Linked DNA regions of Yarrowia lipolytica. The protein of the gene in region 2 interacts with the protein of the main gene of each other region in a pairwise test. Links are inferred from orthologs where the notes say so. Each region holds a gene or a part of one and is shown on either strand. Other genes may lie near its edges. The genes, in order: YALI1_F24469g, YALI1_B29785g and YALI1_D35809g.

Evidence for each region.
Region 1: the proteins of YALI1_B29785g (region 2) and YALI1_F24469g interact in binary tests that used the Saccharomyces cerevisiae proteins (3 or more experiments, as listed by UniProt). The link is inferred for Yarrowia lipolytica from reciprocal best matches to the Saccharomyces cerevisiae genes MON2 and DOP1.
Region 3: the proteins of YALI1_B29785g (region 2) and YALI1_D35809g interact in binary tests that used the Saccharomyces cerevisiae proteins (3 or more experiments, as listed by UniProt). The link is inferred for Yarrowia lipolytica from reciprocal best matches to the Saccharomyces cerevisiae genes MON2 and GGA2.

Annotation. Positions count from the first base shown.
Region 1 is NC_090775.1:2,439,076-2,451,213, forward strand, and holds YALI1_F24469g (uncharacterized protein), read right to left. Parts: upstream 8,085-12,138; coding exon 8,033-8,084; intron 7,843-8,032; coding exon 3,020-7,842; downstream 1-3,019. Other genes in the region: YALI1_F24401g (uncharacterized protein), read right to left, coding at 1-1,034; YALI1_F24408g (uncharacterized protein), read right to left, coding at 1,506-1,799; YALI1_F24413g (uncharacterized protein), read left to right, coding at 2,287-2,934; YALI1_F24478g (uncharacterized protein), read left to right, coding at 8,747-8,786, 8,840-9,018; YALI1_F24486g (uncharacterized protein), read left to right, coding at 9,539-9,667, 9,711-9,848; YALI1_F24489g (uncharacterized protein), read left to right, coding at 9,884-10,399; YALI1_F24509g (uncharacterized protein), read right to left, coding at 11,693-11,905, 11,950-11,952; YALI1_F24511g (uncharacterized protein), read left to right, coding at 12,043-12,115. UniProt on the Saccharomyces cerevisiae protein: Required for traffic between late Golgi and early endosomes, and for the normal structure and organization of the endoplasmic reticulum. Required for normal cellular morphogenesis.
Region 2 is NC_090771.1:2,973,511-2,984,714, reverse strand, and holds YALI1_B29785g (uncharacterized protein), read right to left. Parts: upstream 6,160-11,204; coding exon 6,085-6,159; intron 5,987-6,084; coding exon 2,207-5,986; downstream 1-2,206. Other genes in the region: YALI1_B29844g (uncharacterized protein), read left to right, coding at 309-1,712; YALI1_B29779g (mitochondrial 37S ribosomal protein mS38), read left to right, coding at 6,825-7,514; YALI1_B29753g (uncharacterized protein), read right to left, coding at 7,838-9,406; YALI1_B29742g (uncharacterized protein), read left to right, coding at 10,529-11,204. UniProt on the Saccharomyces cerevisiae protein: Required for traffic between late Golgi and early endosomes. Required for endocytosis and maintenance of vacuolar structure.
Region 3 is NC_090773.1:3,575,949-3,585,197, forward strand, and holds YALI1_D35809g (uncharacterized protein), read left to right. Parts: upstream 1-4,908; coding exon 4,909-6,759; downstream 6,760-9,249. Other genes in the region: YALI1_D35768g (uncharacterized protein), read right to left, coding at 1-808, 916-977; YALI1_D35787g (uncharacterized protein), read left to right, coding at 2,710-3,885; YALI1_D35852g (uncharacterized protein), read left to right, coding at 9,231-9,249. UniProt on the Saccharomyces cerevisiae protein: May play a role in the regulation of membrane traffic through the trans-Golgi network.

The DNA.
Region 1 (12,138 bases), on a different chromosome or scaffold from region 2:
AAGATCTCACGAATCTGATCGGCCTCAAGACCACTTTCCTGACCTAGAGTGATGTAAGAGAACCACGTATCGTAGTCTGCAGGGTCCTCCTTCAACTGATCCTCGTACTTGGATCGTCTTTTAGTGAGAACCACATTCTCAATACCCTCCTTGGCTCCATACTGTTTCTCAAAGGCCGTGTAGTCAGCATACAGCTTTGCAGACTTGCTTTTGGGCAGCTTCTCGAGTCCATAAGTGTACAGAGCTCTTGCTCTTTCGTACTCCCTATGACGAGTCTCAAAACTCGCCCATCCAGCCAGCAGACTCTCATCCAGAAAGTCCACGCCTCCATGCGCCATTTCCACCAATGTGTCGATTCCCAGAGCATACACCTCCCTGACGGTGTCTCTGTTTCCTGCCTCCATCTCAAACTTGGCCCATTTGTTCCATGCTGGTGCACCTGGATGAACAGTGACATATCGTCTCAGAATGCCCCGCGCACGGTCAAACTCACGATATCGCTTCTCCATGTTCACGTAAGCTGCCCAGGCGGTCACCGGCGGCCTCCAATGCATCCATCTCTCAAACACGGCTCTGCAGCCGGCAATGTTGCCCAGCGTCTCCTCTGTAGCCACGTATGTGAACCACAGCTTGTCGACACGCGGCAGGAGTGTGACGGCTCTGTCCAGCAGGTTTCGTGCGTGGTTGATGTTCTTCTCCTTGAGCTCGCACTGAATGTATCGGATCCAGGTGGGCACATGCGTTGGGTTGACCTCGAGAGCTCGTTCAAATACAGATCTGGCACGTGCAAACTCCCGTTGCTCCAGCTCCCACTGCGCGTACCGCATCCACTGGCCGGTGTTCAGTCGATTTCGTCGCAAGGCTCCCTCATACTCCTGTCGTTTGCGGCCTTGGTACTCTGCCAGCTCTTCCAGATCGGCAATCTGCTCTGTCTGCTGAAGAGGCGTCTCCTTTCGCTCATATGCCTCCAGCAAAATCTGCTCTGCAGAAATCTGCAACGCGGCGGGCGCTTTGTTTTTCACCCTTCCTTCCATACCGGTGTGGTGTTTCGAGGTCGTATATGGCGTCAATATTTTTTGGTGATGATTCTGCGAAGGTTTTATTTGCAGTGATAACTAAGCTTCGTCGAGTCAACATGAGATGAGCGGAACAGTGTGAACGCATCTTGACTTGTGGAAATCAGTATATATAGACATATAGACAAGTACTACCTCCAACACCTAATGCTAAGAGATACATTTGTTTTCCCGTCTGTTTTGTCGGTCTATTCTATCTTTATATCGATACTGGCGCCACAATACAGGAACAAGTATTGTATGTAACTACGTACTTACAGAACATACTGTAGCTACAGTAGCTAGTTGTATGGCAACCAAAAAGACTACAAGTATTACAAGTAGCTACTACCTATTCACATCTATACCTAATTCCACATATGTTCATCCAGTAGCACGTAGTTCACGCTGCCCCATCCCACATCCTCTAATCAGTCAATTATCAATACATTAGTTGCCGCCTCGAAGGGCCAGGACCAGATGCAGAGAGGCTCCAGCTTCAATCTTGTTCTCCGCAATGGTCTTCTCGTCCTGGAGCTGCTTTCCGGTGAAAACGAGACGCTGCTGGGCGGGAGGAATACCCTCGAGTTCCTCGATCTTCTCCTTGAGAACGGAGATCTGAGTTAGTCCTGTTTGAGTGGTGACGGGATAGGTGCGAACAGGTCCGTAAGTGAACCTTGCATTTGTAGGATCGTGATAGAGAACAGCACTTTCCCATGACTTTTTCCCCTTATCGTGTCTCATTCATGCCAACTTCATCGTGGCACGCACGCGTGACCACTTCGCAACAGTCCCCCCAGTCCCTCCATCTCTTCATACTCACCTGATCTTCGGGCTCAACGTCCATCTCAATCTGTGTTAGCTTCGTCGTCACACACTGGCCGCAACAGTGTTCCAAATGTCATTTCATCTAGGAATGTTACTGCTGGGTGTATATCGTGGTTCAGGACTCACCTCCTTTCCAATGAGTGTCTGTGTTAGCATTTCCAAGTTAGCGCACCGCAAGCACGAATCTGCGGGGAGGATGCGCACAATGAGTTCTTTCGAGTCCCCAATCATGTACCCCGCGGTCTCCCCAAATCATACTCACCTTGATCTTGATCTTCATGTTGCGTGGCTTGTATAGTGGTTGAGGTTGAGTTGCAGCTGGAACGAGTTTAAGTTGCATGCGAATATATATTTTGGCATGCACAACCACCAAAGAATATCGTAGTCTAGACACCACCCAGAAATGTCGTTTCCAACACCTTCCACGTCATCAGCCAACTATGAAGAGGTCTACGAGCCCAGCGAAGACTCCTTCATGCTCCTGGACGTGCTGGAAATGGAACAGAGCTACATCAACAGCCATCTGTCATACCCTGTGGTGACAGAGATCGGAACCGGATCAGGCATCGTCACCACCTTCATGCTGAAATCCGTGGTGCCCAAAGGCGTTTTTTTGGCTACAGATATCAGCCCCTTTGCATGCAACCAGGTTCTGGCCACGTCAAAAGAAAACAACGGCACCCAGTACCTCGAGGCGCTTCGTGGAGAACGTACCACAATGATGAGACCTCATACCATCGATCTACTGGTCTTCAACCCTCCATATGTGCCAGACGACAAGCCCGTAGAACCCTACCCGGAGACAGATGGTGACTGGGTCGATTGGGCACTTCTTGGAGGTGAAGACGGAATGCAGGTGACTTGGAAGGTGCTACTAGAACTGAAGACCATACTGTCAAAGAACGGAATCGCCTACATTTTGTTCTGTGCAAGCAACAAGCCAGAACAAGTGGCTGTCAAAATGAGGGAACTGGGATGGATCGTGACGCGCATTGTTGAAAGAAAAGAAGGCAGGGAACTTCTAAGTGTCTACAGATTCGAGCTGAAGTAGTAGACCATCATTGCATATTAATTACATTTTTTCACACGCATACATATCATTCATTCATTAATCTATTTAGTATAATATATCATCTTTACTCCTGGATATCGGCCAAGAGATCCAGCTCACAAGCCTCCTGATCAGTCTCCTTGAGAGCGTAAACACTTTCGTAGTTGTAAATGGAGAGCCGGTCAAAGAAAGGCTTTAGCTGTGCAAGAGAGGTAAGAGAACCAATCTTCTGTCCAAAAAGCAAAGGCCGTCGCTTGGAAGTCTCCTCCAGATGAAGATCATCACTGCTGACAGGCGTAGACTCAGCCAACTGATCCAGAATACCGTAAGGGTGTCCGTAAATAGCATCACTGGAATCGGTGACAAACAGCCATTGATCCAGCTGGAAATCCTCCTGGTTAAGCACCAGCACAAGATCGAGCAGCTTACAGGCACTCATCACGATTCGGTTATCCGTCTCCTTACCTTGCAGCAGACCCTCGAATATAACCTGCAGGTTGTGGGCAACCAGAGGCCAAATGGGAACCAGATGAGTGGCAGAGAACCGCATAACAATAGCACGCAGTGCAATGAACAAGGACTCGAGCTCAATCTCATCCAGAATGCCCTTGATCTCCTTCATATGAAGCACAAACTGGTCTTCCTGGCCAGAAAGCAACAGGTAACACAAACGTCGAACACTGTTACCTCGAGAGCCCCAGTTGAAGACACCAGATGAGCCGGTGATGAGCTCAGAAACCTCCTTGGTGCACGTGGACCACTTGGACAGAATCTGGGGCCAGGGAGCCTCGTAGACAAAGTTGTCCTCGATGAAAAAGTCGTGAACGGCACTCTTCCACACCTTGACGGTTCCTGGGATCTGAGTGATGACGCCGAGTAACTCAAAAGACCGTTTGGGGATCACGACGTTGTTCACAATGCCCTGCAAAACGGAACTCACCTTGTCTTGGTCAATGAGAATCGTTCGCAGAACAGGAACCACCTTCATGAGAGTCTGTTCATCGGTAACCTGTCCGACCAGCTTCACAACAGCATCAGAGATTTCCTTGCTCACCTTTCGGTTGGCAAAGTTGCTGCCATCAATCTTGACTCCAATAATAGTGAGGGTCTGAACGGTGGGAGACAAGATTTCCTTGTAGGGCACGGGGTTCAGCATGACGGTTCGGGCGAAACCCATGTAGTCCGTGTAAATGTCCTCTACAGCGTCGTTGGATAGAGACTTCACATAAGCCAAAAGGAACGAGGCCGTTGACTTCTTCTGGTCATCTGAGAGACTCTGAAGCAACTGGCTCACCGACAGCTTGGGCCGAGAGCCATCCAGAACATGCAATACCTTCAACACATGGGGCATATCATCCTCCGAAAGCTCGATCAGCATTTGAAGAACCTCACCTCGCTCGAAAGAGAACAGCTTGTCGAGAATTTTTCGAGCTCGGAATTTCAACCGCTGGCCAAGGTAGACAACGCTGTCCAAAGTGTATTCCTCGGCCTCCTGTCCATCGACCTTCCGCCACAGATTGAAGCAGCTCTTGACGGCATTCTGGAAACACAACAGAACAATCATTCTGTAGCCATTGCCCTTTGTAGGCTCCTCCAGAGATAAGACACCATTGACCACGTTGGTCATCCACCCCGTGGAGTTGAGATTTAGTTCCTCCTGCGAAGCCTCGACCTTGGTGTAAGCAAGATAAAGGGACTCGAGACAGTATTCCAGACCTGTCAGGTAAGGAATAATGGAGTCAGACAGAGGTGCCGTGACATCAGTGACTGTATCGCCAACTGCAGGGTCCTTCTCGCCGTCCTTGTCGTCAACTTCGACCAGAACCTCCCTGGAGCCTGTAGAAAGCTTCTGCAGAGAAGCAACGGGGGTACCATCAACAAGAGCACACAGTCTCTCGACGATAGCAATGCTAATCTGGAACAAATCAGTAGAGTAGATTCCGAGCAGACACTCTAGGAAGTGAATCCATCCCGAACTGATGATAACGCCCTTTCGAGAAGACAAGCCATGCAGAACAACAGCAATAAAAACACCGGGAATGTTCACATCTGAGGTTTCAGACACCAAGGGGATGTCCACAGGACCGTTTCCAATGAACTTTTCGCTCTTGGAAAGCGTCATGGAAAGATCCAAGGCCTGCAGAGCCTTGGCAAGAACTGCAAGCACGATGACCTGAAGCTCCGAGTCCTGGTTTACCAAGTCAGACAGCTTAGTCACCAACACGCGCACAAATACCTCCCAATTGGCTTTGGAAGTAGGGAAGAGAGGCGAATCAAGCAGAATGGAACACAGCTTGAGCACTGCAGACAGAGCTGAACTGTATGCCAGCGTATCAACAGCCTGGAATTGCAGAAAATGAGCCATCAGGTTGGCAGTCCAAGCGGCATAGGTGGATTTGCCTTCATAGTAATCGTTGATGTCAAATTCTTCCACCTCCTCCTTGTTGAAATGGAATTTGGCCATGCTAGAATTATTGGCAGAAAGAACCTTCGTGAGAGCTGAGACGTGGTATGCGAAAAGAGCCAGGTCATCGGACTCTTCAAACAGCAGCTTGCCTTCAACGGTTGGCCGGCTGAAAAATGCGGACTTGGACAGAGGGTCTAGGAGAAGTGAGAATAGTTTATCACACGACCCGCTCGAAGCCACTGTGTTGAGCCAGTAAGAGCCAGCAAGAGATTTCTCCGATGCAAAAGCCAGGGAAATCAGCTCATTGGACGACACATCAGAGGCGAGGAATTTGTTTTTGCCTGCATTGCTGCCATAGAGCTCCAACTGAGAGGTAGGAAGAGGAAGCAAGTCGAGATACAGGAACAAGGGTCGAGCCAATAACTTGGAGAAGTTGGGTGCCGAAAGAGAGTGCTGCCAAATAGCCGAAAACACTTGTGACTTCTCATCACAGGGTTTCGAAAACAGAATACTCAGAGCAGCCTCCACTTCCCTGTCATCGCTACCGTGAACAGCCTGAAGAGACCACAACGCCTTGACCAGCTCTGCATTGTGGAAAGGGCCGTTGTAGTACTGTGAGTTGGGGGTTAATGATGTGAAAATGTATCCTACCAGAGCAAGAAGATTCGCTGGGAACAGCGGGTACAGCCTGGTCCATCCCAGGACAGCCACGGGAGGCAGAGAAGGCAGGGGAGAGCTGGAGAAGGGGTCGAATTGAGCCACTGCTTCTTCACCTGCCAGCTGTAGAGTTTTTTCCAGCTGTTCAGACTTAAAACCAGAAACCTGCTTGGCTTGTAGCTCGGAAATGATGAGTGCAAGCTTGGAGAAGATGGCTGGGTTATTACTACATTCAGCAGTGACCTTCTGGAAGAACTCATCAGCCAAGCGAGTGGAGGTCTGTAGAAGCAACAAGTAAACATCAGCAGCTCCATATCCATCGGCCCACTCGCCATCGTAGTACTCTTCGACCTTGGACTCAATAGTGGACACTTGGAAATCGCCATCAGTGAGCGTCGAATGTTCCACTGGTAAAAATGCCCGCTCGGGGATGAGTTCAATCAACAGAGTAGCAATCTCGTTCCACTCTTTCCACTGAGAAAAACGTCCAGACAGAAGATGGCTCAGTAGTGCCAAAGGAGCATGCTTGACAATCATCTCTTCGTCCGAAAGATTGAAGGTTTGAAGTGTGAATAAAGCCAAAGATAGAGAGCCAGTCTTGAGCATCTTTTGAATGTCGGCCCAAATGTTGATTGCCTCCACTGAGTCAACAAAGGCGGAGGCTGACAACACAATATCCTGGTAGTCAGGTCTCTTTTCACAGTCGTAGACAGATTGGATAATGGGTGTCAGAATCTCTGGAATCACAGTAGATCCAATTTCCCATCGATCCATCAACGAGAGAGAAATCTTGGAAGCTCTCACTGGCGAACTCAGAGCCAGGATGCCCTGGACAAGCGCATCTCGGCCGTGTGTTGTAAAGTACTCCTTCATGGAAACATCATCGGGTCCAAGAAGCCAGGCCCACAGCCTTCGGTTGAGAGACATGTCCTTTCTGAGCACGGCGGCACATGCGCTTGTCATCAGCAGAGAAATGTCGCTCTTAGAGGCCAGGCCTGTAATGACAGGAGAATCGAGAGGCAGGTTCTTGACTAATAGTTCCAGAAAACCTCGCTGGACAAGGAGTTGGTCGTCCTCTAGCCCCCGACAGAAGGCCCGGATCAGCAGGCCACATTCCGGAGTGACAGCTGACTGGGCTTCGTAGGATAGACTGTGAATGATCTTGTCGGATTCATTGATGCCCTCGACCTTGGAGAACTGGGGCAGTTCTTTGTATGCATAAACCAGCGCTCCTTGCCTCTTATCTGGAGCGGATACAATGGTGAGGAAGAAGCATTGCCAAAAGTAGGGCTCATCATGGAGACGTAGCTTGAGCTTCTGAATGAGATCAAAGCACGCCTGGAATGACTCACTTGACTCGTCGTCGATACCGGGAAGCAGTGAGAGCAGCAGCGGTCGAATTGTCGTTTTGAGAGTCGCTTGAGGCAGCTTCTCCACAATGTCCTCCTGAAGTACCTCAATCAAGATGGGCTTGACGTTAATGGATGCATATGCCATGAGCGGGAGCAGTCCGGGGAGCCAGACTCTGATTCCCTGGGCCACGGGGTCCACCGATTTGCCGTCCAGACTCTTGTGATAGTCGCCGATACCTCGCAGTATCTCAAACACCTGACGGTACACCTCCAGGGTCTTCTGGTGCACTCCTGACGGCAGGTTTGGCAGCAGACACCAGGCCAGTTTGGAGGCAATTTCGCTCTGTAGCGGCAGGTAGGATGGGTTGGAATGGCTCTTGAGTGCTTTCTGCAGCTTGCCAATGAACGAAATGTAGTCTGCCCATTCGTCGACCGAGTCCCATAAAGCCAGCGACTTCTCTAGTGCTGACGTGTATTTCTTCATTTTTGGGTCTGAATTAGTAAGTCCTGTCATTGCACACACTCGAACAGTCGTCGTTAGTGCCGGATCATCGCTGTGGATCTCTTCTACCACCCCCTAACGCGTTCGTGACATGTCCTCATGTTGAGGCGTTCAGTGCTGTAAGAAGAACAGACACAAACAAAAAAAGAGCTTGCGTGCCATAACCCTCTTCATACTTACCTTGGGTCGCATCCTTGGACCAGAATGGCAATGGCGATATTGACCGAAACATGTTGGTGATACCCTTATGTTGTAGCTGACAGAAGGTTCAGATACACACAGCATGATGATGCGTGTGCATGGCAGGCTTGGGTGGAAACAATAGGACACATATTGTAACGTCAAGAGGCGAGTGAGAGTGAAGGAATGAGTGGGTTTCCAGATCCGCGACCACCCGATATCGTATCTCTGAACGCTTTTGTCGTGCCACCTGACTAATCACTCCGGCAAAGGTAGACACGTGAAACTACCCTAACCCCCTGATGGGAGAGTGACACGTTTCAGATGTTTTTTGTTAGCTTTAGTTAGGGGATTAAGTAAATTCCGTGGGTTACGTAAGCGCGGACAGACATCCGGAAGACCAAAAATAAAATAAAAATAAAAAAATGATACAAGCACAGTAGAGAGCAAAGGGAATAGTCATGCTGATTGAGAAGCTCCACGGTAGGTTAGATTTGATGCCCTAACCTATTAATAGGAACCCACTTTCGGGGAACTTGTAATTATGGAAAGAAAGACCTCACGGTGTGTACTGTTTTCACCACCTCAACAGTTGGACACTTGTATCTCTGAGTAAGATGACAAATTCACATCTTAAGCTTGCGAAGAGAAGATTAGCGATAGTAGAGGTATATTATTCATTCGTTTTCCTAAAACAGAAGAACGTCTTTGCAGATGCGTTGGCTAAACCCCATGGACGTAACGCTCGATAAGGGTGGGACTAAGAGCGATAGTCGGAACTGAATCTTGACTTTTATGGTGAATAAGACCATTTCATAATGTCTAGCACGGCCGAAATTATTGACTATCGAACTCTCTGTCCTATTATCTGCCGTAGTTCATCGCCAGCGATTGGGTCTCGTGCCATCTCTTCCCGGTGTAGGAACCACACCCTGCAGGAGGCTTTTTACACGAACGCTTGGCTAACTTACAGCCATATTAATTGATTCTTGCCCCTTTGGGATTCACCACAGACCGCAATCTGCACATGCTACTCCACCTGAGTTCATATATGTTCGTTAGGATGTGCGTGATGAGCTGTGGCCCGGTTGTGCTGTCAGAAAGACGTTCACTTTTGGACCAAGTCTCCCAGTTGTCCCCGAGTAGCAACCTATAGACCATCTATGGGTGACAGAGATGATGAGTCTTAACTGTAGGTTGGGCGCTATAGCGGCAACGGTGAAAAAACGCTCACACAGCATATTTCTTTTGGGATGCTGGTTGGTAAGAAGATCGAGCGAATTAAGGCCCACGGCTCCCGGGTCAAGTCCATCCGCTACAGGTATCATGCAGCAACAGCGTTCATTAATGAGCTCGCGGCATTGTTTTGCATACCGTCGTGCTCAATAGGCTCGATCGGTATTCACTAAGTCGAGATGGACCAGTGGTGGAGAAAGTAGACGACGTAGACTGGGTCAAGGAGAACCCAGCCTGGGGACGAGGCCTAGATGATGGCGACAAAGCGGTATGACGACATCTGTACTACCGCCGCCTTCAGCACCATCCATGGCCTCAGCTGTCTCAGACCTCAGCCAGCCACAGACAGCTTCAACTGACACAAACAGAAGGCTATTTTTTCATCTGGGAAGACCCTGCGTGAGTTGAGCCAGTTACTGTATCAGGGCAAATGTTTTACAAGGACACTCCCTCTCCTTCCGCCCTGTCACGATTAGCCTCGAAGGTACAAGTAGCAAACACATGGCCGATCGAGTTTTTCGCTCCCTTAATCATGCAGATGGGGTGGATTAAGGGGGTGGCATCTTGTTTGTATGGGTGAGAAAGTCGCAAAACACTGGCGCATCTTGTGGTCCAATGTTTCACAGATACATCCAGTCTGTGGGCCCACCTCAGATCCTCAACACACTTTCATATCCCTCCTCCTCCCCCACTTCAACCGTGAATGTGTTGATTTCTTTTTTTCCTCTCTCACCAACGTTGTTCATGCCCCATGCATCAGGACTGTGGGCACAAATACCAGAGATTCGTGATGCTCTGGACCTTCCTCTTCTGACACGGTGCGTTTATATGGATAAAATATATCCATCAGGCTCGACGCTCTCTTTTCCTCAATGTTGCATGATGTCATACAGTGTCGTATTGTATGTACTTGCGCTAGAGAGAAGAAAGAAAAGAACTGAACCATTGTATCCCCTCTTGATGATCGCTTCTTTGTGTGGCTCCGGACCTGGACATGCAATCTTGTACCGGGACACTCATAGAGAGAGAAAGAAAGAGAGAGAGGAGATCAGGGCCCTCAAGGACGCCCAGATCGTGGCCCAGCAACCTCCAAGGTCAATTGGACCCCCACTCCAACATTTGGGGACCTGATCTGCACCCAAATGGGCTTAGCCGCTTGAACACTACGACCCAGACGCACGCATTCCGAACCAACTTTGTTCGGAGGTTCGACACGCCGCTGGAGGACCTGCAATCTCAGTTTAATGCGAATTGAGTCTGTTTGACAGTCGTTCAGTCAGTCAGTGTCAGTCAGGTCAGTCAGTGTTCAGTCAGTGTCTCAGTGTCAGTCTGTCGGTTCATTGCATGTGGAATTCAGGTGTCCGATCGCAAACTTTGAGCTACGCAACCACAGCAAAACAGCGACTCCCTTGTTGGACTTGTCTCAAAGCTCGCAAACTTTCTGCCAGCGGGCCCTCTTGTTCTTATGAAACCATGAGATTATTTCATTAGGAAAGAGGTTGTGATACACGGTGGCTGTGTGTCTCCAATCTCAATCATCAGCAGCTCTGAACCTATGAGACAGAACGTCCAAACCTACCTTGATGGGTAAACGTTTGTCCCGTTTGTCCCGTTTGTCCCTGGTGACTCAGCAACCAGACAGCACTTGTCACGATTCAGTACACGCAGTCCATGGCTGCCCAAACCCGGACGTCAACCGTGAAATCTTCCGATTATCCACGCCAAGAAGCCCTGCAGCCCCCACAACAACAGTACAAGTACTTTTGTCTCTCCATCCAGGTGGAGATTTCTTTTTTGTCCTGACCCCTACACAAAGTTACGCATTTCGGTCGCTGATTGCCGATTGCCGGCTTGATGAGCCCTCTAATTGTCCGAACAAGCTGCAACATCAGCATTAGACAGTACGGAGCGGGTCGTACCTAATGGCCAGCCCTGCCAGCTATCGTTAGAAAGAGAGCCAATTCCCTTGTCTACAGCCAACTGGGCTCCGGCTCCCGGAGGTTTTCCTTGTTTAACCAAATACCGACGCCGATTACGCCTACGAGTGTTTATGGCAGTCAGTTTTGGTTAACTCAACTCCGTGGGGGCTCTCATGAGCTGTGCTAGAGCGGCTAACCGCTGAAGCTGCGCATCTGGCGATTGCACCCTTGATCCACAGAAAGCGTGCGTGCGAACGGCCTGGATGCTACAGAGCGAAACCCCCTTAGCACGTCGGTCCTCGGACGTCTGCGATGTGCAATCGGTGGAAAGGTGACGACACAAAGAAAGGAGATCGGATTGTTGTCGGCAGCGGACTCCTACGACCAATAAGCGAAGATTTCCATGCATCCCGCAGGTGGTAAGCGGTGGAGGAGGGGGGGCGAGGGGCGTTCTTCATGTGCGACGTTGCATGTGGGTTGTCCCAAAGTTGACTTGTGTACATACTCACAAGTAGCGAAAGCTCGTTTGATCCCAGCTGTGGGGGACACAATTACCATTCTGGATTACACACTCCACCGTCTGCATTCCAAACGGTCTCGAACGGTCATGTCTGACCAATCCCTGATTGGTGTGTGTCTGATACCCTTCTGGTTCCATCTTGCTGTTTGCTACTAGAGCAAGGTAGGGAGCCCACCAACACCACCAGGAGACGTTAATCTTCTGCTAATTCGGTATATGATGAATAATTGAAACAGAACAACCATAGGAGATATCGATCACTTCCTTGTACACGATCCCTTTGGTAAAAGGCTGCCAGCTTGGGTGTTTCCGATCTACATTCAAACCTCCTGGCCATGAAAACTTACTTGGGAGCTACAGGGTCACAGACTTTCATAATCATTTCATATTGCAGACAGGGTGGGGGAGGTATGGCCAGGCGGACTTGTGCT
Region 2 (11,204 bases):
TTTGCACTCGCGCGAAAGGGCATTGTGGATGTCGATGAGGAATAATGATGCAGAGGTGACCACTCCTTGAAGCACCTCTGGTATGAGCTCGGTTTATGTATTCAATTAGTGACACGATCCGTCCGCAAACAGACCTATCTTTCCTCCTATGCTTGCGATAGAAGTCTTTGTCGAACCACATCTTCGCGACACACCCCAGTTGATCGACGAAAACACTGTCGATCACGTTAGGCGCAGTTAAAAGGATGGCGCTCCCATTTTTATCGAGGCTCTAGTCGCAATCAGTCACTCGCCTCTAGCCACTCATTATGAAATTCACACTCCTTTTGGCTGGTCTGTCTCTTGTGGCAGCCGCCCCTGCTGACGCTGATGCCTCTGCTTACTCCAATGTTCTGAACATCATCAACAAGCACCAGGGCCACCACGCCAAGCGTGACCTGGCCGACTCCGCAAAGGACCGATACCTCGTCTTCTTCAAGAACGGCACCTCCATCCAGTCCATCAACGGTCACATCCAGGACCTTGACTCCAAGGTCTCTCCCGAGGTCGGAGCCATGGCTGGCACCAACGGCTTTGCCGCTACCAGTAGCAACCAGGGAATCCAGGGCGCCTTTGACGTCGACGCGTTCACTGATGGTAAGGGATTCACCGGTTACTTTGGATCTTTCAACTCCTCCGTGCTGGACTCCATTCGAAGCTCCCCTGATGTCGCTTCCGTCGAGAAGGATGTGCTCATCTCCCTCGGCAAGCACGCCGCTCAGCCCGTCAACCTGACCGAGCTCCACAAGCGAGACTTCCAGTCCACCACTGTCGCTCAGTGGGGTCTGAGCCGAATCTCGCACCTCAACAACAACGTCCAGGGCGTCAACCCCGACAAGCCCTCCACCGTCCGAGTGCCCTACAACCGAGAGTCCTCCAAGTACGACACCACCGTCTACGTCGTCGACACCGGAACCTACGTCCAACACCAAGACTTTGGCGGACGAGCTCGATGGGGAGCCAACTTTGTCCAGGGCGAGCCCATGCAGGACCTCAACGGCCATGGTACTCACGTTTCCGGCACTGTGGCTGGTTCCACTGTCGGAGTCTCCGGAGAGAAGACCTCCATTGTCGCTGTCAAGGTTCTCAACCAGAAGGGCCAGGGATATGCCTCCACCATCATTCAGGGTATGAACTGGGTTCTCTCTGACTACCAGAAGGCCGGCCAGCCCCGATCCGTCATCAACTTCTCCGGAGGTGGTGCTTCCTCTCCCGGTCTTGACCAGGTTTTCCAGCAGGCCGTTCAGCAATACGGTATCCCCACCGTTGTTGCTGCCGGTAACAACGGCCAGGATGCCTGCAACGAATCTCCCGCCCGAGCCTCAAAGGGTATCCCCGGTCTCATCACCGTTGGAGCCACCGACCACCTCGACAACATTGCCGTTGAGCAGGACTGGTCTTCTGCCAAGGGACAGTGTGTCGAGATGTTTGCTCCTGGTGTCACCATTCTGTCTCTATGGATTACTAACGACGATGCTGCTGCCACCATGGGCGGAACCTCCATGGCTGCTCCCCACGTGTCTGGTGCCATTGCCTACTTCCAGTCTATTGCTGATGGCGTTGTCCCCGCTGCTGTGCTGGAGTCTTGGGTTAAGGATGCCTCTACTGGCAAGGTTAAGGGAGACCTTGGTGGAGCTGCCAACAACTTCCTGTGGAACCGAGCATCTTTCTAGACGCTCCGTTTGGAAAAACATATTTAATGATACCTAATCAAAATTAGATTCTGATACACTCCATGTTTCCTGTATTCTTGTACTTGTACTTGTAGTTTTATATATTCCTTATGTTCTTCAGGTTCAAGAAAGCAGCTATCGAAAATACTCATACTTCCTTCCTACTTGTACGCGTAGCTATTGTACATAATCTGATGTCACGGCCGATCGGACCCTGTCTCATGCCAATGTTATGAATGGCGCTGTTTTAAAGTTTTGGGCAAAATAGATGAAACAACTGAGATTGATGATCTTATGTGCATGGTAATTCAGCTCCACATATTGTTGTGATAAGACATGCAATAGAGTTGAGCCTAAAACCCCACACATTCCAGTCAATGACAGCTGCTCGTGCAAATCCTATAGTTGTACTTGTACGTCACGAATCCATCATTCAAACATAAGTGCTTGTACTTGTACGTCATTATTCATCTAAATACTTTTATTTAATGTGGTTAAAATTCCTGTAGAATCACTTCTGTGCTCTCTCCACGCATTTGGAGCTTCAACAGCAAGGGGAACAGCGCCTTGAGCTCCTTCTTACTATCCGGGCTCTTCTTTACTAGCAAACCAAGATGCGTGAGAATTACCTGAAGCTCTTGGTTCTGCAGCTTAGGAATGGGCATGGAGCCTCGAATCACGGAGTCGTTAATAAACTGAGAGATACATGCTTGGGCTCGAGACATGGCGTACTGTCGCGACGACAGAGAGAGCCGCTCCCGAGCGCTCCCGGTACCATCCCCCTCTCCTATCCACAAATTGAACAATAGTGTTGTACAGTAGAGAGAGAAATCAGGCTTTGACACGGCCTGTAAAGTGCCTGAGAAGCCCAGAGAAGAAGCCTTGGTCTTCCACACCAGGGAGTTCTCATAGATGGACTTGAGAAGGGAGTCAATGAGCGACTCAGGGACATGGTCAAGTCCAAGAATGGGAAAAATGAGCTTCTCGTACTTATGGAAACCCTGACTTCGCTGAGCCAGAATGGACAAACCACCCTCGACAACACGGGGCCACAATGTCTCCTCAGTAGACAACCGAGGCAGCACCTTTTCAACAGTCTCCAGGAACAGCTCCGTAGCATCATTACCAAGCGATGACAACGTGGTGTCCTGAAGCAACAGTGAGATAACGCTGTCATCTACAGCCTCAGGAACTTCAGGAAGTCGGCTCCTGGAAAGCTCAACAGCCTTCAGCGATGCAGCTCCAAACTTGGGAGAGTCATCCTCCTCCTTGGAGGCAGTGCTGGATAGCTTGGAAATCCTACCAAGGATCTCCAAGACCTTGGCGTGGTGGCCAGAGACATTCGAAATTTGTTTCAGCACAGCTGTCTGAACAGGAGAGGTGGACGTCTGGTCCTGAGCGAACTTTGGAAGTTGGGGATGCAGAAGGCAGTTGTAAAGAACATCCAGGGAAGCGTCCAAAGTCGCATCAGGCACATTTCTGTCCAAATCGTAGATAATGGTGTGCACAGATGCATGCTCAGCAATGGCACTAGATGCAGAGCCCAGGTTCCACGGGCTGACATACTCAGTTCCCCAAGGAGGAGAGAGCCAGAACTTCCATGCAGCAGCAATGCTCTCACGGCTCAATGGCGTAATGGTCAGAAGCTCTCCGAAAGACTTGCTGATAGTTACGGCATACTCAGGATGTGGGCTTGTGGTGTTTAGCTGCTCAAAGTAGGAGAGCAGCTGGATAAAAAGAATGTCAACCTGGTCGGGCAAGACGGTCTGCACAACACTCATCATGTGATTGAAGCCAGTAAGCAGCAGCGAGACCGTGTAAGGGTACCTTGCTGCAGCTCCGGCGGGATCATTCTCGATCAGATCTCCTGTGGGTGTCAAGAAGAGCTTAGGCAGAATCTCCCTGGAAAAGGTCTGCCACAGGTTGGGTTGGAGCTTGTCCTTGGGGAGAGACTCGAAAGTTCGGAAGAAGGTCTGGATGGCACCATTTCTGACGTCAGCACGAGAATCATGCGACATGAGAGCCAGAGAAGACATAAGGATGAGCCACAGAGCAAGAGGCTCAGTAGAGTCTCGCATCTCGGACATAGTAAGGACTCGATTGATGTCGTCTGTCTCCTTGGCCTGGCGCAAAATGCAGTCGGACACAGTCCAGAACAGAGAGATGCATGTGAATGACAAGTTGGAGTCTGAAGAATGCTGACAGAATTTGTAGAGTAGGTCCACGAGTGTCAGAAGAGCATCGGAAGGCAACTGGGTAAGGAAATCATTGCAGACCAGCTTGACTGAGTCAAAAGCGGCCTTGGTGACCTCCAGAGACATGTCATCTCTCAGACCGCTGTCCAGAATGCTAAAAATGGTGCTCCAAGAGGAACACTTACCCAGTTGCTGAAGCAGCGAGTGGGTAGTCTGTAGATGAGCCAAGACAATCTCCGACTTGTCGCTCTTTACAGCCTTCAGAAGCGAATCAAATATTCGAGCATGAGCCTCGGGTATTTCGGACTCCGAAGATTCCGAGAGTTTTCTCTGAATGAGGGCACACTGTAAACTCTCACATGAGATGAGATGACCTAACAGCTTCTGCCACAGTACTTCTTCCTCCACAATCTTGGTGACGTTGAAAGTTGCCACAATTCCAAGCTTGTCATTGTTCCACTCGGAAGCTGATCGAGTCAATGCATTTACAAGGTCTGAAAGAGCAGAATTTGAGTAGTCTTTCGTCGAGTCGAGCAGCTTCTTCTCTGCAGATAGCACCGCAGGGTCAGATCCGACCTTGGACTGCGAAGTCTCCCGTAGGGTATCAAGGAGAATGCTCCATGATGAGCCCAATGTAGTTCCGAGGGCGGTTCCGAGGTTGACTAGAGCCCGAAGACACAAGATAGCCCGTTGAGTGGGTGGTTTCTCTGCACCTGTGGCAAGAAGAGACATGAATGCATCACGCGCCGTCTTCCTATCCACATATCCCGCAACATGTGCCAGTTTTTGGACAGCACGAATAACGCTGTGAAGATCCAGGGACTCCTCAAAGGGTCCAGAAACCAGAGGACTATACAGATCCAGAATGGTAGACCAGGAGTGGTCAATGAGATGCTTACACAGAGTTGCCCGAGAGTCCTGGTTCTTCTGAAGAAGGAACTTTGCAAGCGCATCGCATAGGGAATTGGCACACGTTATCGCAAGATACTGCTCGTACCCCTCGGGTAGAGTCGGTGCTTCTGTCTTGTCCAGTGTGTCAATGAAAGGTGTCTTGGTTGCACTGTTGAACCTGGTTCCCTCCTTGGTATGTTTCAGCAGGTCCCGGAACAGACCGAGAGTATCTGCAAGAATGTTCTTGCGTCCCTCAGCTACGTCATACTCCTTATAAATGGCCAGAAGGAGGTCAAAGTCGGAGAAGACACCTTGAAGAATCTCCATGCACAGTGCACGTTCCCATGATTCGGTAGGCTCTCTTGACAGATGGACGAACAGAGTCAATGTCACCTCACACTCAGCTGGCACCAACGCAAGCAGGGTTCGTAGCAACAAATACAAGACTCGAGCGATTCTAACAGCCACGGGAAACGGTGCCTCGGAAGAAAGACCACGAAGCAGTGCTGGGAATAGCTTCATCTTAACACAGTAAATGAGCTCGGGATGCTCCTCAAACACCATGTGTTGGTTCTGCAGAATACTCTCCACCAGTTCGAGACAGAAAGTGTCCTTGTAATGGCCTTTCAGGAAAGTAGATGAGTGGTATTCAATGAGAGAACAGAGATCAGACAACACAGATAGAGCGTCATCTGCTGCAGGAGACACGAGAATCTTGTCTCCTGTGTCGACTGGCACCTCAAAGGTCTTGGGAGGGTCCTGCTCTTCTCGCACCTTATCGAAAACAGACACTATTAACTGTTGGAGTGTCGCCGCTGCGGAATTGGATACCACAGGGGGCTTGTTGGGGGCCTTGAGGGCTGAGCAGATCGCCAACAGGGCGCTCAAGTTCTGACCCTGCAGCACCTTGGTGTAGTTTGCCATCAGTGTAGGGAGACATTGAAGGATCTTGAGCTGGATTTCGACGCCCAAGTGGGTAGCCTCCTCCAACGCACCCAGGACTGACGGAATTGACTTGTCGGAGAGCGCAGAGATAGCCAGCAGTCGTTGTATCAATGGCACTGCAATTGCTGTGAGTTTGGCGTTACGTGACGAGCAGGCCAACACCAGAGGCTGGGCAATCTTTTCGTCCTTCTTCAGGTCTTGCGGTTGCTTGTTCTTTACAGCATCGAGTGTGTATTCGGCAGCCTGTGTTAGTGTCTGTTTCCCATGTGTCCGTGTCGCATGGGAGGCACGTGTGAGAGAAGCCGACACTTCCTTCGCGTCAATACGCTGGAGATACTCACCTGACGAAGCTCAGGGTGTCTTCGCTTGCTCTCGGCAAGCAGACTGGACAACTCCACAACCAGTTGCTGATTCATACTGGCTGATACTGGTGGGTGTTAACTTTAGCTGTGCATACATCTGACGTAGCCTACATCGCGAAGGACTGCATTTAGAGTTGTCCCCAAGTCACTGGCACTTAGTTTGTCAAGATATCAGTTGTGAGAAGTACTTGTAGCGGTTGATGTTGATTGAGTATGTATTGGGGGAAAACATGCCTACCATTTTACTTCCGAGGTTTCCTATTGTCTGTGTTGTGACGCTCTTCTTTACAGTATGTCTTCGCTACTACAGCAATAACGGTGGCCGTTGTGGTGTGGTTATGGTGTACACTGTACCTGACTAATATTAAGGGGTTTCAATTAATACCCCGCAAAAATAGAAAGGCCTAGAAAAAACCCTTGACTTATTTTTAGAAGCTCAGAAATACAGAGCAACTTTTTATATTTTCGCCCCTATATATATTCCTCGGCTGAGCTCTTTTTTTTCCAACTCAAATTTCAACAAAACATCCAGTTTTAACTGACTCTGCACTTGACTTTATCGATAATCAATTAAAGTTACCCGTGTTCGTCTGATTAAGGTTGCTCCCAACCACGAACCACAGCTCCATCAATTGTAAATCAGCTGAGTAATCTCAGCCACTTACCCTACTTAACCTACACATTTTCATCCCACAGTTGGTTATCTCCAACACCACAACATGTTAGCAAAACGACTTGGCCAGCTGGCCAGCCCCACCGGATCGCTGCTGCGAGCAGGATCCCTGGCCACCGCACGACCAGCAAACGCCCCTAGAACCCGTCGAATCTCCATGTCGTCCCAGAGTGGCGATGATAAGCGAAAGCTATGGAAGGACTTTGATTTGCCCCCTTCGCCACTGGTGGGTGAGGGAACTCCCGAGGACCGATTCTTTGAGATTGCTCTGTGCCGACACCGACCTCTGTACCTCGACACTTCTGTCTCGCACCTTTTCTCCGATTCCGCCGCCACCAAGCGAATGGATGATTTCATCAAGTCTCGGCCTAACGAGTACGCACAGGGAACCACCGAGGGATACAACCCTCTGTTCCCTAATGCCATGAGCGTTTCCGGTCAGGTTACCAACCCCGAAATGATGCATTTTTCTAAAAACGTCACCGCCGACCTCTACCCCTACGAGAAGTACTACTCTCCTCAGAAGTCCGAGTTTGAGGTGATTGAGAACGCTCGATCTGACGCGGACCTTCTCAAGTTCATCGGTGAGGCCGTCAAGAAGTTTGAGGCCAAGAATACCGACGCCGACCTGGAGATGACCTCCGTCAAGCGAAAGCGAAAGATTAAGATGAACAAGCATAAGTACAAGAAGCGAAGAAAGGCTCAGCGTGCTCTTCGACGAAAGCTCGATAAATAATAATGTATATAGCGGCGATAGCCAAATGATGATGTATCATATTTCCACACGAGTGTTTCATTATTTCAGTTCGTACAGTATGTACAGTATCAGGACAAGCACTGTGTAATTACGTAATTTCTGTATATGATTTTCGCGACCCAATTTTGGCGCTTGATTTTGACGTTCACCTTGCTTGGTGCCTAAACATCGTACAATAATAAAGCTGTGGCTTTAGTGTAAACTCGCTTTGGGTTGGGCCCACCTTATTTATCACTCAAACGGGTGGTGTATGTAGCTATTGCAATGTATTCAGTCTAATGTACAGTTAGTAAATAAATAAATTAGTGCCGATGAACAGGCATATGCTGAGTGTCCAGCAGTTCCGGAGGCGGCCTAGTTTTTTTCGAGTAGTAATAGTCGAGCTTTTTGGCCAGTTGTGAACGCACCGAACTATGTCCTCGAGCATGAGCTGCGTGAGTATTGTGTTGAAGTTCTTGGGGATCTGGCTGGTCCACAGAGTCATAAGAGGTACTCGAAGCACGTGAGAACAGTAGTCCTGCCTCGATGATACGGTCCGACAGCACCAAGAGCGGCTGAACGAACCGCTTTGCGGCATTTGGAGTTGGTGTATCCGCGTCCAGAGACACGTCCGTGAATTCCCTGAATTCGCTGGGGTTCATAATTGATTTTCCACCCTCGAATCCGAGATAATCGTCGTCTTCTTGCAGCTGGCGACCCAAGAAGCCTTCCTTTTCGTGGTGACGTTCCAGACGTTCCACACGGTCAATCCACTCCCAGGCGCACACTATAGCAAGCAACGTAGAGATCCACGTGAGCGAATCACTCCATTCAACTAGCCAGGCGTTAGCAATGTCCACCACAAATAACACCACGGGAGAAGATGATGCCAAAATAGCAATGAGCGTCATGGGCACCATTTCCATGCACATGGTGGACCTCGAGTTGGTGATTAGATAGTACACCATGGAGCAGGCGTACATTATTTGGATGGCCACCTGGAAGAGGTATTGGAAGGCCGGTAGCGAGCCGGAAAACTGGTATTGGAGAGCCATGTCAATAGATGTGATTCCATTCAGCACTTGACAGACCACAGACATGGTTCCACCCAACCAGAAAATCATCCGCTGCTCCATACGTCTGGAGAAGACTCTCATAACCACCTGCACCTGTGCCAGCAGCATGATGAAGTAAAACACCAGCTCCAGCACAGCCAGATAGACGTACGATGACAGCCGCTCCACCAGCTCACTTCTGTCGAGGTATCCCTTATTGTATTGTTCGTTAATCAGCTGTGTCGAGTGTGCCAAAATGATCGTTAGGTATATGGTTCCAGCCAGTACACCCAGACGCAGCAACAGCGGTCTCCGTGGTCGCTTATGCGGCATGACAAACGATATCATCCACAGCAGTTTCATCCTCGATTCCTTCTTTTCCTCCTCAAAGTCTGCAGAGCTGCTTCCATCAGACTGTAGCGAGCTCTTGTATGGTTCCGTCGTCTCTGACCCACCGTTGGACTCCACAGGAGCTCTAAAGCCGTGGCTGTTTTCACCAAGAATGAGAATAAGAACCACTATCCACGCCACCACCATGGATATCAACATCGAGTACGTCAGTGGCATTGTCGAGTTTCCAAACTTGCCTTGGTGAGTATCAGTCCATTGTTTCCAGCCTTCCTGGATCTGGTCGAAGAGCGGAAAATGCATGGCGCTCGAGTCGACGGCCGCGACAGGGTGGCCGTGGTAGCATGCTGGGGTGAAGGTGGCGATCATGCCCTGTAATGTTATCGTGGTGGTGCCTAGGTCGACGGCTCCTTCTGTTATGATGATGGGCACACATCCCGGGTGGTCTGTCGGATACACCGGATCTCGCCAGACAGACAGGCGCTTCATGGGAGAAATGGACCTGCTGGGGGAGTGTGTGTGTGTGTGTGTGTAGAGCCAGGCTTTCTGTTGAGGGTGTGCGGGAAAGAGTTGCAGCGGATACTACGGATGAGGAGATGAAAGAAGAAGTCTATTTGCAGGCTTGTCCCACAGCTTAACCTAGATGCAGACAAAGGGCCACGCAAGGTGTTTTTAGACACAAGCTTCTTGGCTCTCTTGGCGGCAGCGAAAAGCGAGATTATCTCCTCGGATCAGGTCTCACCGCTATAGATGATGGAAAGTATAGAAGCCAGTGTCCCCTTGGCACAATAACAGCCTTTTCGCATCCTTACGACCCGGAGCAACTTTTGTTCCATTAGCCTCCTCATGTCCCAATCCTTAATCTTTATTTTCCAGGCAATCTGTGGAAATAAGCGAGAGACAGTTTCCGAGGCATGTGGACACGAGGCGTGGGCCCATGAGCGTTTGAGCGTTTATTCCTCACTCACTTTCTTCTCTCTGTACTTTCAGCCTTTAAGCCCGCCAGCGAGAGACGCTATATTTTTTGCACTGGCCGTTTTTGGACGATCTGTCACGTGAGACAGCTGCAGAGAAGCGGCTGCCACCCAGCAAGATGAAAACGACGCCGGGGCCCGAGAGTGATGGGACGTTGGCCGCACAGGTATAATATATACAGAAATACACTTCTATCAAACCAGCCTTACATGTAACACGTGCCCAACTCTGTATGGTGTAAGTATCCCAGCGACGTTAGTCATGTCTAACGTTAGGTGCATTGTAGTTCTGTTAGCGAAATCTCAAGGTGGAGTACAGTACGTACTTGGAGTGAGATGAGGGAGTCCCAACAGCACACCACACAGCACAGCGGGTCCAGAAAGGCTACACACAGCTACTTGTACACAGTGTGACCCAACTCAGCTGCACCCCGTACAGCTCACGTGCCGAAGGGTGCAGAGAGAGAGTCTCTACGTTGGATTGGTGTTGGATAACCGGCAAGCAGGAAAATCGACGGATATTTTTTCCGTACGTGTTTTCTTTACCTTAGTCCTTGGTTCACCGCAGACTATTGCTTCAATTCTCTCACCCCCTAGCCCCTGCAACTCTATTGTCTTAATTGTACCTGGAAGAAATATGCACCATCAGGATACGTACACAACACCAATGACAACGCGACAGCCGTTTGGACTGAGCTCCATGCCGGTGGCGTTTGAGAAGGTGTACAAGGACAAAGAGGGCATCGACGACGAGTTCCACACTCCGCCCCTTGAAGCCTTTGAATTTGAGCGCAGTGTGGACAGCATAGGGGTCGCCATGGGTCTGGAAACGGTCCAGCCTGGCCCTAGCGGGCTAGGGAAGGGTCTACAGAACGGCAAGGCAGGCGCTTCAACAGATACACAACTAGACATGAGTGCCCACCAAATGCCGCCTCCACAGAGCATCCCTAACGACACGTCAGGTCATCACATACAACGTCGACCTGTCGACATTGGCGACACCCCGCCTCTTTCACGAGACTCCATTTATTCTAACGACGAAATCGGCATCATTGATTTGTACTCGAAATCTCCCGAGTCGGGCATGACCTCTCAAGGCTCGTCTTCGGTCCCTGTCAGCAGACAGACAAACAACCCCACAGAAACAACACCAGCCCTGGAGACGCTACAAGCTATCCCCGTAGCTAACCTGCACCCCGAGCCGAATCCTCGAACCCCTGACTTGCAGAAGACTCCATACAACCACGACGCCCCTGGCTCAGCAATCTCCGTGGCCTCATCATACAAGGAGTCCCGACGAGAGGCCGGCCGAG
Region 3 (9,249 bases), on a different chromosome or scaffold from region 2:
GTGCAGCTCCTCAGTGGAGGCTGTGAGGTCCAGCATGTGGGTTCGGATCAGGAGGTATCGCAACTTCTCAAAGTCACAGTGGTCCTCGTTCTCCACCTCGGCAACTCCCCACAGGTATTGTCGGCCCTTGACCACTCGACCATCAGGGGTCTCCACGTCCTTCTCAGAGGCAATGATGGAGTAGGGCATGGCGTCAATAAGCGACTTGGCGTGCTCAGCAGCTCGCTGGTCCTCCTCATCCACTGAGGGCTGGTAGATTCGAATGTTTTGCGCGATGATGGTGTCTCGAACTCGCTGCTTGAAGATAGCCAGCTCCTTGCGCGACAGTGTGTCAGCCTTGGCGATGACGGGGATCAAGTTCACTCGAGAAGACAGCTTCTTCATGGCCTCAATGTCCAGGGGCTTGAGTCCGTGGCCAGTGGGTCGAATAAAGTAGATACACGCGTGGACTCGCATGTCAATCTTGCCGACACGGTTTGGTTGCTGTTCCTGACGCATGAAAGATTCATGCTGGTCGTCCAGAAATTCAACAATGGGCTGCCAAGAGTCTAGGTTGTTGACATTGTCACCGAATCCGGGAGTGTCGATCACGTTGAGTCGCACTCGGAATCCTCGCTCCTCCAGCTCGGCCTTGGTCACGTCGATCTCCACCGTCTTCTTGATGGGTCGCTTGAACCGCGTCTTGTTGTCTGTGTAGCTCTTGATGGATGTGGAGAAGAGGGTGTTAACGAAGGTGGTCTTTCCGAGACCAGACTCGCCAGCCACCATAAGGGTGAAGGTAGCTCCACTCTTGGCCACAATCTTGTGTCTGTGTTAGTGGTGTATACAATGTCTCCACGTAGGACGAGTGATAGCTCATAACCAGTGTATCCGTGTTTCTGAGCCCATAACCGGTTCACACTTCTCCATACTCACCGCTGGTTTGGCAGATTGGCCACGCCAATGCTCTGAATAGCAGCCTGTGCTGTGGTCGCCATGATTGATAGGTATAATGTCGTGATTAGGATGCGAGAATCCTAGGAGGTGCAGACGTGGAGGTTAGCGTAGGTTACCCGGCCGAGAAATAGGGGGGAAATCAACAATTCGACTACACGTCATAATTTCTAATTAGACAGATTGTAATGTGACCAACAAATATGTAGCGGTGTATTCTCGAGAATTATTACCCTACGTCGTCCCACTCGACCTGCCGTGTTAGGCATTCGTAACCACATTTACATTGAACGCGTGCTGCCAGGCAACCGCCGTCACGTGGATACAACGCGTCCTGTTCCAAAACAACGTGTCTTGGGTTGGGAAACTTTAGAGCCGGCAGTGAGCGTTCCCAGCATGGAATTGGTATGAATGCCGTACGAGTACTTATAATTTGAAAAGAAATTAGATCTAACGTGTTTCGAACAGCTATTTCTGTCTTGTCGGGTCCGCGAAAATACGAAATACGAGGCTGTCTCGCTGCTCTAATGTGTCCTGTAACCTGCCTGACACAACCCCATAGTCAAACGGTTTATCATAGAAGGTGGCTATTGTTGAATTGTGAGTGAAGAATTTTTCGGTGCTAACAATGACCATCATAGACATGTGTCTGAGAGTGTCACCAGCGGTAATATCCGATTGGCTGTTATTTTGGACTGAATCCATCCACTTGTCGGGCGAACTACAGGTACACCTACCACGGTTCGTACGTTTTCAATTATAATTGTAGTCAAGCTTGGTGCCATTGAAGTGTGCAGCTGATAAGGGTTCTGTTGCAAATTGGGACATGTAAGTGCCAATACTTGTACATACTGTACGATACTTACTGCACTTGGTCAGGTATAGCGGTCAGGTATAGCAGATTGTCCCTCTCTCTGTGTACAGTAGTTGCTCATAGCCGGACTTGGTTGCTCTAGTTGTTACCCCAGGTCCATGCATTGATACTTCCACGACGAGTCAAAACAGCCCTTAGAGTCGTGCATACTGTAAAATGTGTCACCTCGTATCCGCCTAAGATAGTATGAGACACTCAAGTTGTGCAGATATACTCTCCTTCCTCCCTCTCATTCAAAGGACCCCAACTCTAGCCCGCTCCCTACAGTACATTCAGAGCTAACAGATGCTGTACGGCGTTATTCTTACAGTAGAGGAACGGTGGCAGGTACAAGTTGCATTAGTGGTCTAGAGCTGCACTGCATGTTGTGAGAGCGGTCGTGCTCACTGTCGCTACAGTATAAGAGATGACCTTGTATCGCTTCATTTATTTGTGCCTGTGACATAGATCGCGTTTTTTTAACTCGGACCTATAGATCAAGATGAAACCCAACCATGTGTTGATAAAGGAGCGAGCACACTCGTTCGTGGCACACTGCGGTGTAAGGGGACCCCCAAGGACCTTACATGAACATTAGTGTGTGGCATTTGGCTAAGAAAGCTGCTTTAGATCCTAGAACAAAAAGTCATCTGAATTCATCTGTTCTTACAGGTACTCGTACGTCATAACACCTCGTTTATTAAAGGCAATTTTTTACCTCAATGGTGGCCTCGCCATAATTCGGAGCTTGACTATTGTGTGTTCACGAGTGAACCTAAATGGCCCTACCCACTGTCTGTTTTAGTGAGTCATTGTGTGACTAATGGAACTAGTACAACATGTAAATTTGGGTCGTGGGATAGGAGGCTGTCCAACATTTGTCTCTTCTTCAACCACTATTCACGGTATTCAGGATATTTTCCATGTTAACCTCATCCCGCAGAGAAACTTTCACGGTCGGTGCAGTGACTCAATTAAGGTACACCATACCTCACCACTCTCACTTGTCATCAACACCCATGTCTCTGCCTCTCAACACCCAGCTTAAGGCCATTTTGGACGACACCTTCACCCCCGAGGATCTCGCCGAGGTCCTGGCTCTGGTCGCCCAGGAGAAGGTCCCTGAGTCCCAGATCATCACTTTTCTGGCCCTCTTGCATGCTAAGGGTCTCGACATGAACGCTGCTTACCTGGCTGCCGCCGCCAACACCCTGCGACACGCTGCCCGTCTGCCCGACACCTCCAAGCTTGATCCCGAGGGTTACGTCGACATTGTCGGCACTGGAGGTGATGGACAGAACACTTTCAACGTGTCCACCTCAGCGGCTATTGTTGCTGCTGGTATGGGCATCAAGGTCGGCAAGCACGGCGGTAAGGCCTCCACCAGCATGTCTGGAGCCGGTGATCTGCTCACTTGTCTCGGAGCTGACATGTCGCGAGTCCACCAATCCACTGTGCCTGATATTGTCGCCAAGGGTCCTTTCTGCTTCCTGTTCGCTCCCATGTTCCACCCCGTTATGAACCGAGTTGCCCCCGTCAGAAAGTCCATGGGTATCCCTACCCTCTTCAACGTCCTGGGTCCCCTCGTCAATCCCATTCCAGTGAAGGCCCGGATCATCGGTGTGTACTCCGAGGCCCTTGGTCAGATCTTCGCCGAAGCCATCACCCATATCAACAGAGTTCAGGGTATGTCTCAGTCCCCTGCTCTGGTTGTCTGGGGAGAGGAGGGTCTCGACGAGATCTCTCCTGCCGGACGAACCAAGGTCTGGAGAGTTACTCCTTCCCAGGAGATTGAGGAGCTCTACCTCACCCCTGAAGACTTCGGTCTCTCTAGACACCCCCTGTCTGAAGTGTCCTCCGGTACCCCCACCGAGAACGCTACCGTGCTCAAGCAGCTTCTTTCCAATGAGCTTCCCGATGGTCACCCCATCTCCGATTACGTCATCATGAACGCTGCGGCTCTGGCTGTCATTGATGGTCATGCCAAGGACTGGAAGCATGGTGTGGAGCTTGCGCGAGAGTCTATCAAGTCTGGAAAGGCTCTCAACGCTCTCGAGACCTTCGTTGAGGCTTCCAAGGCGGCCCCGAAGGAGGCATAAACGCTCGGACAGACGAAAAACTACTCACCCAGGCGAGAACACTATGGACGTTTTGACCCACGATGGTATCTACATTACATCCATCCTAGCTTAGCTAGAGGAGTCCGGGTACTCCCCGTATTTACGCTGCTATAGGTAGTATTGTTTAGGTGGTATAAGTTGAGGTTGTAGATGTGGAAATACAATAGATATTGGAGCGATATTGTGCCTGTATGGATGGTGCAACGGTTATCTAAAAAATCAATCTGATAGTGCTGGTTTTAAGGTTCCGATTGGAAAGTCTTCGCCAGCAGCAGCAGCTGTTTTCTTGTATCGTAGCTGACACTGTAGCCGATGCATTGCATGAACAAAGCTATTTGCTTAGGCCTCCTCAAAGCTACTGCTTCCCACAACGAGGGCAAGAAGGAAATGAAACATTTGCTGGGAGGAGAAAATCGAAACGATTATCTTACAGTTGCAAGGACGTCAGATAACGCACGGCATGAGACCAACCGCCACCTCTGTTATGGCCACGCTGTAGCTGCGGCATTTAGATGCGCCAAGCCCTACAAGGGCACACAAGGCTTATTACCAGCCAATACCAATGTACTGACCAATATATAAAAGACAGGTGGTGATTGAGCGTTGTGCGGAGAGGTGGTGAAAAGTTTTTCACTGATGACAAAGCGGCACTCCCCGTCTGAGCTGGAGTGAGACCCCAGTCAGTCAGCCACATGGTTACCCACTAGAGATTACAGGATACGAAATTTAAGCGCAACGCAGTGGGAACCAGGTGGTGAGGAGGGGATGAGCTCTACAGTAGATGAATATATGGCAGCAGTTGTAACACCAGTATAGTCATTTAAATAAGCCCTTCATATTCTAGTGCTAACCGCTTCGTCGTCCCCACGCAGTAATTTGAAAACAAATGTCGGCCAACCCTAAACTGTGGCAACGCATGTATTCCGCACCTCCCAATCGACCACATCATCTCGACCTGGTTGAACACAACTCCGACTCCACAGCGCAACACACCACAAAAAGATGGCTGACTACACCGCCCGCTTTCGAGTGGACGACGACTACTACGTGCAAGCCACGCCCCGAACCGGCAGTGGATCGTCGCAGTCCAATGCAAAACTGTTCAAGCTAATCAGCGCAGCTTGTGCCCCCCATCTGGTGGAGCCCAACCTAGCGCTGGACTTTGAAGTCGCCGACTACATCAACTCCAAAAAGGGCAATAGCGCTCGGGACGCTGCCCAGGCCATTGTCAAGCTCATCAACCACCAGTCCCGAAACGTGTCCATCATGGCTCTGTCGCTGCTGGACATTTGTGTCAAGAACTGTGGCTACCCTTTTCACCTACAAATCTCCCGAAAAGAGTTTCTCAATGAACTGGTTAAGAAGTTCCCCGAGAAGCCCCCAATGAACTACACTCACACCCAGTGTCTGATCTTGGAGGTGCTGCAGGACTGGCGAGAAACACTTTGCAAGCACTCGCGGTACAAGGATGACCTGGGATACATCAGAGACATGCACCGGCTGCTGACCTACAAGGGCTACCACTTCCCCGAGGTCAACCGAGATGACGCTGCTGTTCTGCGAGAGGCTGAAAGTCTCAAGTCTGCTGCTGAGCTGGAGGCTGAAGAGCAGGACGCCCACAGTGCCAAGCTGCAGGAGCTCATTCGATCCGGATCTCCTCGAGACCTCCAGGAAGCCAACCATCTCATGAAGATCATGGCTGGTTTCAAGGAATCAAAGACAAACTACGCCGCCAAGGCCGCCGAGGATCTGGAGAAAATCAAGACTAAGGCGCAGCTTCTCGACGAAATGATGCAGGGGCATCCCAGCGGCACCCCATTCAAGCCCGACGATGTCTACGCAGAGATGTACTCTGCCGTCAAGGCTGCCCACCCCCGAATTCAGAAGATGACTGAGGAGGAGGGTCAGGACGAGGAAACCGTGGCCAAGCTTCTACAACTCAACGACTACCTGCATTCTTTGGTTGAGAAGTTTGAGCTTCTGCGAAAGGGCGACTTTGGTGGAGCTGGCGCCGTCAACACAAAGGCCCCCTCTGGATCTGCGACCTCCAAGGCCGTTGTTTCCGACCTCATTGACTTTGGAGACGATGAGCCTGCAGCTGGAGGAGCTGGAGGAGCGACACCCGCGGGAAACTCCGGATCTGGCTCCGGCGCCGCCGTCGACGATCTGCTTGGCGATCTCAATGGTCTGTCCTTCAACAACAGCTCCGGTTTTGGTCAGGGTGGCTCCATTTCTCTGCTGGGGGCCACTAACGCAAGTAGCGCTGCCTCCCCTGCTGTGTCCGGAGCCTCTGGAAAGCACTCTGGCACACCCGCTGGATCCGGAAACCTTTTTGACTTGGACTTCTCTCCCTCGGCATCTCCTGCTCCTGCTGCTACTCCTGCTCCCGCTTTCAACTTTTCTTCTCTCTCCCAGCTGACTGCCAACAAGGCCGGTGAGACACACGCGGTCAAGACAGCACCCTCTGAGGACCCTGCTGAGGCCTGGAACTTTGTGGGTGCTTCTTCCGGTGCTGCTGCCGGTAAGGAGATTTCTATTCTGCAGACTGGCGACATCAAGGTGTCTGGCCTGGTCAGCAGGTCTGGCAGTAACGTGGAGATCACTCTGCAGTTCTCCAACAAGTCCTTCACTGATAACATTACCGCTCTGGACTTTAAGATTGCCGCTCCCAAGTCTGTCACTCTCAAGCTAGACCCCGCATCCTCCGACACTCTTGGAGCTGCTTCCATCAACGGAGTGACCCAAGAGGCTCACGTTGGCAACGCTGGCGACAAGCTGAAGCTGCGATTCAAGCTGAACTTCAACATTGGAGGGAAGGCTGTTGAAGAGGTCGGCACCGTGGAGGACCTGTAAATGCAAACTTATGCTATTAGTGCCTCTTCATGTCCGTAACGAGTAATGACTGTTAATATTTTTTTCATGATCCGCTCAGTAACGTACTTGTAGATTGGTATGGAGTCTCAGGATGTGTCTCAGACTGTTTGTGCAAGATCTACGGACTGACGATCGACCTCGCGGGTATGTACATACTTGTAAGAACCGTATCTGATAGTCAGCCTTTGCACGACGAGAAGAAAGAAAAAAGCTGACCCCGTAGACAAAATTGGAAACGCGTTCTCGTTGTAGCTCACATACCGTCGAACAAGGTACTTAGTGCAACACCAGTACATACTCTACCCTGATGTGCCAATGATTCCTTAAACCCAAACACAACCCGTGTATGGCGCAAGTAACGTTATAGTTCTACAAGTAGTTCAATTACAGGCACATTCCGTTGCAAGGTCATTTTGACGTAACATGTCATTGCCGTGCGTACTCCTGAGATGAAGCCAGAGTCACAGTGGGTGTTCCATTTTTAGATGTGATGTAACATGGCTCTCTTCTGACATTCTTGTGATGATCCTCTGTCATACCTCGAGATGTCTTCAATGATCACGGCATCTGCCGATTGGTGGAGTACATGGTAAATAATTTGGCTTGGGGTTGATGATCTGTTATACTTCGGTTTATTGATTCATGGTCGATTAAAAGACTGAAGTTGCTCAGGATATATATCCCCCTCCTCTTCACTCGGTATTAGCCGTGCTCAAGCCAAACACTGAGGTCGTACTGTACATACTCGTAGGAAACAATGTCCTATTTGCACAGTTTCAATATGATTTGCAGTTCCGTGAACTCTCACCCAGCCTCGCCCTGTTTTTGTGGCTTACACATAACACGAAGTCTTCATTCATGGTATGTGTTATAAGTGAATTGGCTCTTGCTACTTCTACTGTGCTCGTAGTGGACTTACGGTACAGTAATGTATGACAATCTAACGATTGAACTTCTCCAAGAACGATGTGCTTGCACTCGCAAATGCTACAAGGGAAAATTCCGTAGCTACAGCTGATATACCTTCAGCTGCCCCTACTACTCGTACATACTGTACAGCACCACTTTCGACATGGGTATGGAGTCAAACTCATGCCATGTATTGTACTTGTAGCTACTGTATGTACACTCGTAACTACACCAAGTTCCAAGTAGGAGCAGGCTGAACGGACAGATTCCATTTCGGGAAACTGACTTGCCAGTACCAGAACAATTCTTTCAACCAAAAGCAAAGTCGGAAGCCTTTCTGTAGTTATATATAGCAAACGAGCCGTGTCGTGTATGGAACTATCGAGCGCATAATTACTTTTCCTGTAAACCTTTAGCATAATAGGGATTTCGAGATGTGATTGAGATTTTGGTGGCTACTTGCATAGATTTGGCCACTTCAACTCAGGTTAAGCTGGCTTGTGCGACAGAAGCGTCGGCGTTCATCTTAACTTCCTGGTAGCTACTGTTGTTCGTCATGGGTAAGATCTTCATAAGCATTAAGCATCGTACAAGTGCCGGTACGAGGCCAACCTGATCATCCCGAAGAAGCCTCTGAGGCATATTCAAACCAAGGTTCCTTCTTGAACGCAGAAATCAAAACAAGAAGGCAATAAATGCAAATTATAGAATGGGTACGTAATGATAACTTGAGTATCCGTACCATATGAGAGGATGAGAACAGCTGCTTCGGGGAACTGTCCGTATATCTATCAAACGAGGGCCACATCGCTCCAATGGTGATAATTTTTGTTACCATCTTCCCCATGTACAGCCGTTTAACATAATGCACAGATTATCTAAACCATCTCATGTCCCTCAGCAGACGGGTGATAGATAGCTACTTTTACATAACCACATTCCCTACATGTTGTCTCAGACTTAAAACCCCATTAAGTGCATAATGGTCACTCGGTGCTCGAATCGTAGCCCTTTATGAAGCCTCATGGTAACGGGTCTTAGGGCCGATATACTTACCAGGTTCATTTGACTTCCCTTTTGGTCTTGTTATTGCTACACTCGGAAGTCTTCTTGGACTCTAAATTTGGTTAGTGGGGGTCTCAGTAAGAACATCAGAACCTCTCATGATACATGGTGAGCCCTGGAGGTACCAGTATTGAAGATGCAGTAGAAATCCAAAGCACATTTCTTCGTTCCAGTTCTCACTCCCAACACTTTGATTGTATAAGAGGAAATCACTGAACAGGGGGCCTCATCTATGTATGTACGAGTACACAGTATGTACCTCTTGTACCTTGTAATGATGACTACAGTACAGTACAAGTAGACCGACTGTAACTCTATCCCTACACGGTACAGGCGTATTCTATACCTGATGTTGTGAACGTTAAAAATGGTGGAGTTGGGGGGGTGGAAAGTCGTCATAATTGTATATATATCCACCGTGTCCTCGTCTGTGTCCCTCTTTTCCCGCAACAAATACACTCGTTCCTTCTCTAACTATGCAGTTCTCCGCCGTTC